Saccharomyces cerevisiae S288C: one gene and its partners. Changing the gene in region 3 together with the main gene of any one other region gives a genetic interaction. Each region holds a gene or a part of one and is shown on either strand. Other genes may lie near its edges.

What was found. A genetic interaction does not mean that the proteins touch.
Region 1: mutations in GYP1 (region 3) and COG5 together harm fitness more than expected from each alone (negative genetic interaction), as found in Saccharomyces cerevisiae (7 studies listed by BioGRID, with this or other methods).
Region 2: mutations in GYP1 (region 3) and CHO2 together harm fitness more than expected from each alone (negative genetic interaction), as found in Saccharomyces cerevisiae (7 studies listed by BioGRID, with this or other methods).

The regions. Positions count from the first base shown.
Region 1 is NC_001146.8:530,895-534,438, reverse strand, and holds COG5 (Golgi transport complex subunit COG5), read right to left. Parts: upstream 1,781-3,544; coding exon 569-1,780; downstream 1-568. Other genes in the region: YNL050C (uncharacterized protein), read left to right, coding at 1-360; COX5A (cytochrome c oxidase subunit Va), read right to left, coding at 2,253-2,714; tyrosine/serine/threonine protein phosphatase MSG5, read right to left, coding at 3,028-3,544. UniProt on the Saccharomyces cerevisiae protein: Acts as a component of the peripheral membrane COG complex that is involved in intra-Golgi protein trafficking.
Region 2 is NC_001139.9:800,743-805,617, reverse strand, and holds CHO2 (phosphatidylethanolamine N-methyltransferase), read right to left. Parts: upstream 3,179-4,875; coding exon 569-3,178; downstream 1-568. Other genes in the region: exosome non-catalytic core subunit MTR3, read left to right, coding at 1-349; cleavage polyadenylation factor subunit PTI1, read right to left, coding at 3,795-4,875. UniProt on the Saccharomyces cerevisiae protein: Catalyzes the first step of the methylation pathway of phosphatidylcholine biosynthesis, the SAM-dependent methylation of phosphatidylethanolamine (PE) to phosphatidylmonomethylethanolamine (PMME). Preferentially converts di-C16:1 substrates.
Region 3 is NC_001147.6:455,407-459,888, forward strand, and holds GYP1 (GTPase-activating protein GYP1), read right to left. Parts: upstream 2,415-4,482; coding exon 501-2,414; downstream 1-500. Other genes in the region: VPS5 (sorting nexin 1), read left to right, coding at 1-389; NRT1 (nicotinamide riboside transporter), read right to left, coding at 4,074-4,482. UniProt on the Saccharomyces cerevisiae protein: GTPase-activating protein (GAP) that stimulates specifically the intrinsic GTPase activity of Ypt/Rab-type GTPases YPT1 and YPT7. Functions on the Golgi as a negative regulator of YPT1. Functions on the vacuole as a negative regulator of YPT7.

The sequences.
Region 1 (3,544 bases), on a different chromosome or scaffold from region 3:
TCTATCGACTATGATGTGATAATACAAGAAAGTACAAAAATTCTGGAGGATGATCTACGTATTCGTGATAAATGGCCATATTGCCAGGGTCGAATAATAGATCTGTATAAGCACAATGCGAGAATAGAGTTAGAGCAGCAGAAGGAATTGAAGATTAAAAAGAGGAGACCTGGTCAAAAGCAACGTGCAGCCAAAAAACTGGCACTTGAAAGAACCAAGGAGCGTGATACCAAAGCTCGTGAGATAAAGAAACAGTTGAAGAAAAAGTTTCATAAGCGTGGTGGAAAGAAAAACAAAAAAAAGGTACCTTTGAACCCACTGGCAAAAGCTGGCAGTACCCCTAAGTTTAGGACAGAATGACCACGTAAATGTATATATATACATATTAATACTTCATATAAACTAACCGATATTGGATTTCTCATAATAACTATTACTAGTATAATCTTTAATAATATAAACAAATATTACATTTCATGTAATTTTTATTAAACATATGCACATGCTATTGAAAATTGCTTTAGATTCATCCTATTTCATCAACATTCTTAATTTTATGTAAACTGTCTCACTTATTTAGAGAAATAGATACTGAGTTTAGCATTACATCCAAGTAGCTTTGGTAATCACTATTATCAGAAGATTTTTTCATACTTTGCTTCATAGTGTTTATAATAAAATCTTTATTTTTTAACAGCGACTTGCCCACAGGGCCTCCTCTATTAACAGATATATCAAAGTCCTTTTTGAAGGCAGATGAAACTTTGCTCCAAAACAGATCTCTCGGTGTACCAGAACCTGCTTTACTCTTCATTGAGGTATATTCTGATAAAAGATTGCCAAGGCGTGATTTATTAGCAGCAATAGATCTCGAGGAATTCGTAACATTATCCGTTTTGATGTTCTGTAGTAGTGTTTCTAAAATGTAGATGTTATAACCTTTTTCAACAACTTCATTGAACGCATCAGGAAACATCCTGATAGAATTTAAAATTTTTGATAGGATTTGTGAGCTCATTGTAACATTAGATAGTACAATCTTGTTTATTGCAGACTCGAATTCTTGAGATGAAAGTAGATATAAGGAGTAGGCCAGCTGAGATATTATTTCTTTGTTCGATTTGATTTTAATAGAGTTCAAGCACTCTTTACACATTTGTAAAGACAAAAATGTTATTAACTCTCTTTTGTTGGGGGAAACAATGTCCTGATCTAATTGTTTAATTTTCCGCAAGGATTTTAGATTTTTATTTTCTTCCAAAGTAATTTCAAGTTGGTAGTGTAAGGAGGCTAAATTAATAGCTGTTGATGTGCTTAGTTGGGCTGTTTTAGACAGTGCGTTTAATTTGTTTGATAAATGAATATAAAGCAATGCTCCGCGCAAGAGAAAAGATGTTTGGTAAACTTTACTCAACGCTAGTTGGACTTTCCTCGCTCTTTCATAAGGATCTAGAACTTGATTCTTTAGTCTATCGTACGACATATTCATATATCCCAAACTTGGTTTCAACTCACCAACTATGGTTGAATTGACGTGTTCATTTTTGTAAATTAACTCTATTATCTCCAATGGGTTGCTATTCATCAATTGGTCTATTCTAGAGTCAATCTCATGTAGATCATAGTTTAGCTTTTTAAGAGGCGTGTTAAGGTCTAAAATGGTTGTGTCATTGTTATTAGTAGCCTTCAGTAAGTCATTACCAAATTGTTTAGCATCAAAATCAGGCTCCAGCAGAGACTCAAAATCTTCTAAATCGTTTGCCATTGGCGCTATTGTCATACCTCCAGCTCTTTTCTTCTTTTTTGTTACACATTTTTATCTTCCATATCTATTCTAGTTGATTTTTTTTTTTTCATAGTATTCAACCAAATGGAGAAGTTTTTAAGAAATACGTCTTTGAAAGGGAGGCATAGAATAACAAGGTAAACCCATTTATACAGGATTCCCTCATACTATATTAGCTTATTTCATTCCAGGGGGGTTCCCTTAAATATAAGAATAATAAGAATAATGATATAAAATTATATGTCTAACAAAAAATTACAAAATTTGAGTAAATAAATAAAGAAAAAATGTGAGAGTGGCAATCAGCCAATTTTATGTTTGATATGTTGGCATTGTATTGGGCGGATGCCCATGGATACACTTATAATGTAATAAGATATTCACTTTCGTACAGGTCACAGACTAGCTGAAAAAACCATGACAATCGTTAACCCCTATTGATTTCCTTTCAAAATTTCTGGCCTGTTCATTTAGATTGGACCTGAGAATAACCACCCCAAGGATTAGCATTCTTCGACTTCAAATATTCGTCACTCTTTAGCTGCCACTCCTTATTCATGGTCTTTGCGTCTTGGCCACCCGCCATCCTGACGACAGCAAAAAGTCCCACTGAAAATAGTAGGCCTGCAGCAACACCTTTGGCAATAAAACTGGAATCACCCTTATTCAATACAGGTCTTCTTGGGCCCCATTCTCCGTAAGAAATGTACCACACAGCTTGCTTTTCAGGCTCAGTAAGCTGTGCCCATGGTAATTTTTGACGTTCACTCAACTTACTGACAATATCCTGCTGCTCAGTGGAGGGCATGTTCTCCCATCTGGATTGCAGATCCATTACAGCAGCGTTGGAAAGAGCATGTGTTTGAGCGAATCTTACGGATGTAATACGTGATAGTCCACCAGCTCTAGTAAAAGTGTTACGTAACATTGTAGATGCGTTCTTAGTTGATCTTGTGTTTGGTGCATTGCTTGCAAACAGAAGACAAAATACGAGGACTGATGGTTCTTATTTAATTGATTGTTCTTTTTAACTTTTCGCCGCCGCTTGTATCGGCGCAAAACGTAGGGCCAATCACAAACGAGGAAAACGTCTATTGGACGATTTTTGCAATGTGACACTTACAATGATGAATAATTACTATGTAGGCAGAAGTGCTAAGTACATTCTATTTAGAAGCGTAGGGAGGCGGTCTGCCTGCAGATCTGATAGTCATAAAGATTCTTTTGGGAGATGCTGTCCCTTAAGGAAGAAACATCATCTGTTCCGGGGCAGTAGATATTGATTCGTTGTCCACAGAAGCTTCCAGTGAATCTGCGGGTTGAGACAAACTTTTACAGTGCTCATCATCTTCCCCGCGTTCTGTGGCCAGTGCGGTCCTTGCTCCAGTCAACGTAGCAGGAGTTCTTGGCGTTACTTCCGAAGAATTGACAGAACTGTCATTCGGCGACGATGATAGATTCGTTACCATGGGAAAACTTCTAAAGGACGCAGAAGAGTAGGACTTCGTAGTCGAGGAAACTTCGTTGTTTCCGATGTCATCTTCCTCAGGCATGTGAACAGTCTCTCCTTCTTCGCCCGGTGAGTTCTTGGACAACATGGTTCCCCATTCCATAAGTTGGAAGATGAGACCCATGTTTGGACTTATATCCTTAGCAACACCTTTCAGCTTATTGTATGCATCATTTAAACTCAAGCCATAATATCGCATGATATACGCCACAATCAATGACGCCGATCTTGATACTCCACACTGACAG
Region 2 (4,875 bases), on a different chromosome or scaffold from region 3:
CGATATCTTCGTTTATTTAACGTATGATAAGGATCTTACAAATAATCCTCAGGACGACGATTCGCAAAGCAAAATGATGTCTTCTCAAATATCATCTCTCATACCACATTGTATCACTAGTATAACGCTAGCCTTAGCTGATGCCGGCATCGAATTAGTGGATATGGCAGGTGCCGGTGAGGCCAATGGCACTGTCGTATCATTCATCAAAAATGGAGAGGAAATTGTAGGTTTTTGGAAGGATGATGGTGACGATGAAGATCTTTTGGAATGCCTTGATCGTTGCAAGGAGCAATATAACCGTTATAGAGATTTAATGATAAGCTGTTTAATGAACCAGGAAACTTAGACACGAGATTATCCTAGTCGGAAAGAAAAGTGAAAGAGGTTAAGAAAAAATTCATGGTAAAAGAAGCGCACAAAGGCATTGTACATCAACATCATAATTTATAATGTCATTCTGCATATATGGTAGCTCCATTATATTACAACAACATAACTACTTCTATTCAAAATGTTAACTTGAATCCTAGTACTTTTTAAATATATATACTCAAAAAAAAAAAACTCAAGCAAGACTATCAAGCGTTTGTTTTATATCCCAAGCGCGATGCGAAATAACGTGAGCGTCACCATTGACTCTCCTCATATACTCAGACGAAAGTTCGACGCCAATTGAGTTCTTAATCAATTGTTTCAAGCTGTCCATCCCGAAGAACTTATTTCCTAATGGACGAAATTTACCATCCTTCAAAACGTTGACTTTCGTCAAAAACTCAGTCAAATCCTTCTCAAACAGTTCAGGTGTCGTGGTATTTAGTACCGGCAATGAAATTTCAAATGGTGTAGAAATCAATAACACCTTATGGGAGTTACCAGAATGATACCTAAATTCGTAGATACCATTTTCAAAATAAAGCAAAGACGTGTCGAATGTCACTTTACCTTGAACGTACTTTTCAGTCGCCTTTATTTCTGTTACAGATTCTTTATGTCTTAATCCATGGTTCATATATGAATCTTTAGAAGTCGCACTCCAATGACCACCTGATCCAACTCTTGTTTTTTCACGATCTGCCCTTGTATCAATGACTTTATACAAACCAATCCAATCATCTCCGTTATAAAGTTCAATGGGCATTTTCCAATTCAAAGTTACTGGAGTAGGCAAGACAAAATTGGTTTCTACCTGCTCGTTTTCAATTTTCAATTCACAGTATGGACTCAATCTTGTTGCAACGCTATCCATTGCTTCCTGAATTAAAATATTCCATTCTTTGTTATCTTGATAATTTTTGGGCAAAAGTTCTGCCCCACCATTGGAGTTCTTGCTTTCATCAACTAATGATTTGATTATAATATTTTCAATTCTATTGACAATATCTGAAACTTGTCTTAGAGGTTTCAAGCCTAGTAAAGTTTTTCCAACACCACTAACTCGTTTAGTTTTACCATATATCTTATTAACATGAGGTGTTTCAATAAACTTGACAAGAATAAAATTTGTCAATGTCCATAAAACAGCCAAGATAATATTTGTAACGGCAAAATTCGTCATCAATACAGTACCCCAAACTCCAACAACGCCTAATACCGCTTCTGGGTGATTCAAATATCTGTAGATACCTTGGGAAGTCAGCTTTCTAGTTGAGATATAGTTGCTCAAGAAAAAATCACCATAAAACCAACCAAAATCAGAGATTGCTAGTCTCGTTTCCTTATCACACCATGTTTGTAAAGCCACAAGAATTAAACCAAAAATTAATTGACTGTTGTTTATGTTGGAAAAATTACTCCAAATTTGAAGCCCTGTATGAATTATCATAAGTGTGTAGGTTAATACCAAATAATAATTGTAAATAAATTGCCATTGCTCATAGGAATAAACTTGTGTGTAACCATTCTCCAAAAACAATCTCGTGAACCATTTAGACTGAGATTGCTTGTACAATATTGTCGAGATAAATAACCATGAAACCAGTTTTGTTACAAAAACGGTAATAAAGAGGTAATTTAAATTGATAAACCTAGCATTCATGATTGTTCCTAACATAAGTGCCGCTACGGTACCAATTGTGAAATAGTCAGTAAATCTTAGCTTATTGAAGTTGTTAAAAGAAAGACCCATGTTAATTAGAGGTCTTGAATAATCGTAATTCTCTTTTGATATCAAGTCATCAATTCTGCTATTCATTTGAGAATCGGAATCAGTGCCATCACCATACGTTCTTTCAATATGAGGATTTTCGACGTATTTCAGAAACAAAAATTGAGAATAATGTCCAAATACGGACACCAGAAGAACCTTGTAGTCATTACAAATCAATGATAGGCCATAATAACCCAAATAACCAATAGAATACATTGGATGTGGAGAGATGTTGAAGACACCATCAAAAATCAATTCAGATTCTTCCAAAAAGAAGAAATCACCCCAGTACCAAGCATAATCTTTAACCACGCGATGCGCATCTAACTTGACCCAGATGTTAAATAAAATCAAAATAACACCTAGCAAAGATCTCCAGTTGAAGATTTGAACCCAGCTATATGGAATAGAAAGGTAAACGTAAATAATGTAAGTCACAAAATCTTGCATCAAGATTAAATCGACAAACTGGCGAAATATCAACCAGACGTTGATCTCTTCTGGATAGGCAAATAAATCATACTCCTTTGGCATTTTAGACCTAATCTCATATTGACAGAACTTCCTAATAAAATTCCAAAATTTTTCTGAAAAGGAATTGGAATTTGTTGAGAAATTCGAATTAGCATCTTTATTCTGTGGTATTTTGCTGAAAATCGCATGAGTTTTAGCACAATTCGTTAGTGTTTCATAATGTGACTGGTAATGCAGAACCAGTCCAATACCTAAATTATAAGCAATTCTCCAAAATAAATACTGTACCAGAAAAAAGTATTTGGTAAACTGTAAGCCAAACCTTTGGAAGACCCAATAACAAATGAAAAAATTCGATATAATAGCTAGCGCGATGCATTTTTCCAGCAGAGATTTCTTCAAAGTTGGATCGAAAAGCGAACGCACCATATCGTGGGTTACAGGTGGTTTGAAAGTTACATTACTCGAACGTGTTCTGGCTTCGACGTTGATAGTGCCCCTATCTTTTGTCACAGAACCAACCATTTCAGACAAAGTGGTTTTACAACTGGACATCTACAGATGAAGAAAAAGCTTTGTCACTAAGAAAATCACTCGAAATATTCAGGGCGGAATTTTTTTTTTCAAAATAGCCTTGATAGGTTACTTTTACCTTTCTTGTTAATGAAATCCTGGATTGTTAGGTTGAACTAACGTATAAAATTAGGGGATAAAATGAAGAAAAGAAGATAAACTAATCAAAGAGGCAAAAAAAAAGGTCCTTTGAATCAAACTCTACTATATTAGTTATATTTTGAAGATTTGGTGTGAACTCTTCACATGAGAAGGGAATAAAAGGGAACACAGTGGAAAGAATCTGTATTTTCATATGCCTACTTATAAATTCACATGTGTCGGAGATCCACGTTATCTAACATTTGAGGTTTTGCCGTTTCTGGCATCGCCGTTCATTTTCACAGTTTTGTGTGGAAAACTTCGCGAATAATGAATGCGGCATGAGAAAAGTGTGGCAATTGACTGTCTTGACCAATTTAAACCAAGGCAAAAATATATATTTAACAAGGCAAACATTTAATGTTGGAAGTTTAGTGCCGCTTTTAGTGATAAGAGGTACAGATGCAAGAACCATCTAATTAGGTGTGGTTTTCTGATACGCTATGGCTCTGATTACTTAGATTATATATTCTTTTCTAAAGTTTTCCACCATAAGTTGCTGGTCACTTGGTAAACTTTGGATCTGGGCAGGTGTCAAAGTAAGAACTTGTTTGATCATATCTTGTTGGTTTTCAGGTAGTAATTGCAGTTTCGCCATATTAATGGTGCCGCTGTCATTCGCTTTATTCGCGTTAGAGGGTCCTTCTGTAGAACTTATATTTTGTTGCTGGACCTGGCCGAGTTGATTTGCCAACACAGGCTGTCCCATGGAGGGGCCTTGAGCTGGAGGCATGAAAGGGCCCGGTGGCGCAAAACCGAACGGTTGTTGTTGCAGAGGTAAAGGGATAAATGGTGGTGTCGACATAGGCATTGGCATAGCTACGTTCAGTGGCATATTGTTAGGATTGTTGCTGACTTCATTAGAAGGTACATGCAACGGAGTGTTATTTCTAATTACGCTTACGGGGGTGTTCGAATTACTTGTGTTATTACTCGAAAGCAAAGATGGGGCCTCGCCAACTTGGGATTTCAACACTTTAGTCACCACGCTGTAGTCTATAAATCCCATTTCTAGTAGGGCTTGGGTCACTGATATTGTGATATCACTGTTAGTATCTAAGAAAGATTCTAATTGCGATTTTTGGATGTTTTCTTGGTTTGATAATATTTTCAAATTTGATATAATTTCAATAAGTTGCAACGGCGGAATTTTACTTAAATTTTGTGAAATTTTGTCTGGTGCAATAATCGAGCCATCTTGGAAACTTGGCAAGTGTTTAGATGCTTTACTTAGTATGTCGGGGAATTGAATGTTTGTGTTATTTGATACAGAGTTTGTGTTATTTGCAGCCTGTGGTGGCGGTGGTCGCCTAGGAATGGGGACTTCTGTCACCATTTCGAAAGGTAGCTCCAAACCCGCCTCGAAGGGGTACGAATCTCTATTAAGTTGTAATACCTGCTTTTGAGAATTTTTATTTGCTGTTTCTCTAAGATGGTCCTTATAATTTGGTGGGATTATTTGCTCTATCTTTACGGGAAAGTTTTCAATTCTATTTAAAATTTCCCAAGCGCGTTTACAATCTTTACTAGTCAAATAA
Region 3 (4,482 bases):
CGATGGGTGTGATGCTGGACGACTATATTAGGTCATTGGCAAGCGTAAAAGCAATTTTCAATCAGAGATCCAAATTGGGGTATTTCTTGGTAGTAATAGAAAATGACATGAATAAGAAACACTCACAATTGGGCAAATTGGGTCAAAATATTCATTCAGAAAAATTCAGAGAAATGAGAAAGGAATTTCAAACATTGGAGAGAAGGTATAACCTTACAAAAAAACAATGGCAAGCGGTAGGAGATAAAATAAAAGATGAATTCCAAGGTTTCTCTACTGATAAAATTCGGGAATTCCGAAACGGCATGGAAATATCACTAGAAGCGGCCATTGAATCTCAAAAAGAATGCATCGAGCTTTGGGAGACATTCTACCAAACCAATCTTTAGATGATCTGTATACAATAACTTTATGTGTCACGTTCCTCAGGATTTATGAATTAGGAGATTTTTGTTTTATATTATTACATACTATACAGTAAGTAAAATGAATAGGTCCGTTTACAGCCAGTGCGACGTAGCATCTTTGTAAAGAGATTGCCAAATAAAGGCTTCGCTCAGAAGCATTTCAATATCCGTTTCAGTCCAGTCCTTTGTAGGAGGGTTCTGTAAGAAAGTTATAGTTTCTTGGAAATCCATTTCCATTAGCTGGTCACTCCACTTGATGAGGAATGCAGCACAAACAAACACATGAAACTCATTCAACGAAGACTGTCTCATTTTTCCACTGTCTTCAACAGCATTGTTTGGTGTCATATTAGAAAGAGCTGTGGTGGGAGATTGGAAATCTTTTGTTGGTGTAACAAAACTTGCCACTCGAGGTTCTGTTGGAGTAACAGGAGGTTTAATGTCATTGGACGACATAGAATAAGAAGAAGTGACCTCTTGTGAAGTTTCAGATAAATATGTGTCCCACATCCTTATTACTGTACCCATTTGAAATTCTCTCATCAAAAGGCAATTCATCCATCTGAATGCAAACTGTATAAACTCCACATGTTCATTTTGAAAATGGTTATATAGATCAGCATCAATTCGTTTCACTAGCTGACTCAAATTCTTCACTTGTCTTAATATGCCTGGTTGTCCGTGAATATAGTTATCGGTAATTTGTTCGAGCAATTTGGTAAGACACCAAAACGTGTCCGCTTCTAAATCTGTAATCTGTTCATCTACCATATAAGTAGAGGGGTCCTTTATCTCTACATCATCTATTTGTGAAGGCGGCAGATATTCGGTAAGAAAAGTCTCGAAAAATGGTGTAACTAAATCATTAATACCTTGCACATATCCGCTAGCAGGATGCCTGATTGCCCAAAGATATAGTATTCGTTGTAAACTGTTCTGTACGGATTTGAACTGGTAGAGGGGAATGTGGGGATTTGTTCTCGGTATATCTATCTCTATCTGATGCCAAGTTGGGATATCTCTTGAGTGCTGGTCAGAAAAGGTATGTTTCAGACTATCCCTATATTCTTTCCTCTTCCTTTGTAAGAAACCCTCCTGTCTCTTGGTGTTCACAGGCAAATAACCTATTAATAATTTCCAAACAACAGGCCTGTGTATTTTTGGGATACCATTCCAACTGATCTGGCGCAGATCCTGTTGATTTATGATTGTCTTATCTTTCAAAATATTGTCAAATTTAGAAATGCGCTGGATGATGGAGTTTAATTCTTGAACATCCCGTTCGTTTTCGATTTCCAACTGAGTTTTCTTGGAATCATTTGTTTTCTCTTTTTGCAGCTGTGGTAATTGAGGGTATGTAAAAGAGGAGGAAGAATTCCGTACTGCGGAGGTCCCCATATTCGAAATCGAATTGATGGAAGAAGAAGTGGATTTTCGCGACAAAGTTCTCGTTGGAGCTACAGGTGTACCAAATCCACCGTTAGTAAGTATAGGAATAGGCATATTATAATCGTCAATAACAGCACTCCAATCCTCATCTAAGTCTTTGAAATATCGATCACCCTTTTTGTTAGGCTCTGTACTGTTACTGCAATTGTTGCCTACACTACCACTACTGCTATGGCGGGGTTGTTGATGGTGGTGATGACGCTGGTGATGCTGACGTAAGAGTAAAGCAGGCCGGGGACTTTCGTTACTTGCAGTGCTTAGAGTGGGGTTTACATATCGTAGAGGTGAATAGGAATTCGAGGTACGTCTAGTGCTTGCTTGTTGCTTTGCCATAGCTTCAAAATTACCGTCACTGGTTCTCCGATCTCTATCTGCCGAGGAAGCATAACCCGAGGGTAAACTAGTAGATTCAGTAGTATTCATTTTGTATAACGATGGCTTCTTGGAGGAAGAAGCCGACGATATCCTCCAAGATTTCATCAGGGAAGTTACTAAACTGGAACTGTCCGAATTATGGTCCCGTTCGTGCATTTCCTTTGCAGCGGATCTCACACCCATTATATGGTTACTTTTATTAAGTGGTCGGTATTGGTGGTTGTTGTTGTTATTTGTATCCTTGATCTACTCTCCAATAATAGTTATAAAAATAGAAAGAAAACAAAACAATTAACAGCAGGACAAAAGCCAAACACTATAGCAATCTGGCTATATGATATGCAGAAAATAGTGATTACTGTGCTCTTTGCTGCATCATGCATCATATGTTTGGCATTCTGTCCTGTCAGATGAATGGGCGAAACAATTCGGGGAGCTTTGTTGCGACTTGGTACCCGGCAAGCCGCGACCTATATTTTGCATTAAACGAGTTCATCGTGGATTTATCGCCATGAGCCTTAGCTTATCAAGCCTCTCACAGACAATTAAGCAATGAAAAAGGTATACCATCGGCGCAGAATGGTTAACTAGTGGGTTCATACTGCTGTGTTATAGATTGTTACCTAAGTGATCACCAAAAAAAAGTGCAAAAAGGAAAAAAAAATAAGAGACAGGTAACTTCCACAAGCTTATTCTTCCAAAAATCAATCTTATCTTCATGCCAGCAATAGTTGCGTGCTGAGCTCAACAGTGCCCAACCCTTGTGCACCGTAGAATTGTAGAATACAAATACATAAATAAGTGTGTTCCCGAAGGACTAAGGAATGACGGCAGAGGAGTCTTGTGACCGCCCTGCTGCAAAACTTGGCAAGGACAGAAATTAAGTAATAGATACGCACAACCTTGGAGCACCAAGAAATGGCTGCAAAAGTAAATCTATAGTATTTCAAGCTGAGATATGATAATATGTTCAAAGGGCTAAAGTCTCATGAAACAGCGTCACTACAAGTCACATAAAGTTCGTACAGCAAGTCTATGCATGCTTTCCTCAAAAGAACTACCCAAATATAAACACATATACAAAAATTCAGATTTTACATTTCAGGTTTCCATAATATGTTAAAAGCTAGATCTTACATAGTGTCGGGAACAGGTCATTCTAAAAAAAGTAAAATAAAATAAAAGGGTTTCAAAGATCCATACTTCTCTACATTCTCTGACTTTTTAAAACTGTGTACTGGCGACCAATCGACAAATCTGCAACCCCAGCTTCATAAGCTTTCTCTCCCACCAGCAAAGCCTGGACCTCCCTGGTTCTAATAATGAGCGACTGAAGTTTTCCAAAAGAAACCTTCACTAAACATGTTATGCTCCTCAATCACGCGATGAAATAAAGGCCTATTTTTTGATCCAACGCCTTTGAAAATTTCCTTATGGCTGGGTGGGGTACCTACCATGAACATGTTAAAGGTAAGTGGTGGCATATTATGGAGTTACGCCCGTATACCAGAGTAATAATGTTGCCGCCGGATAGGCATGGCGCCCCCACCGGATTCTCTTGCTATATGGATGGCATAATTAGCTTATGAAAGGATTGGTAAGAATATGTCTTCTAGCAAGAAAATACTAAGAACCAATAGTTCCTTTTTTTATAAAATTATTGAGCCATACACAATAATGCCGATATTTGTCACCATAGACATACTTGACAGTAAAGTATTTGCAGCTGAGGATCGATCTGGTAGTATTCCCAAATTGTAAGATCTGTACAGATTTTCAAATGAAGCGTTGAAGTTTCCTCTTTGTATATTTGAGATCTTCATTTTATCGGATTCTTTGTCATCAGACAACTTGTTGAGTGGTACTAAAGGAGTGCTTTTCATCATCCTTTTGGTGAACGATTTCAAATACGTTAGTGTTTTCTGAGCTAGTTTTGATCAATTCAGGTGATTCGTTATCAGAACTCTCAGGTTTGTATTCGTGTCCAGTTGTGTAGCATTCGCCTAACGTGTAAGCACGGATTTCTTCCTCAGAAATTTCACTGTATGGAATCATGCCCTTCTTTCTCGCTTCTTCGTCGGTAAATGCACCATAGTAATCTTTGTCATCATGTCTAACAGTAATTTTGAATGGGAAGAAGACACATAGCCCCCAGTAAACGAAAAAAGAAATCAAAAAGGAGAAGAAAGAATCACCATAAAAGAATTTAACAATACCTGAGTCGTGGAAATAGTTATTGTTGACTTCCCAA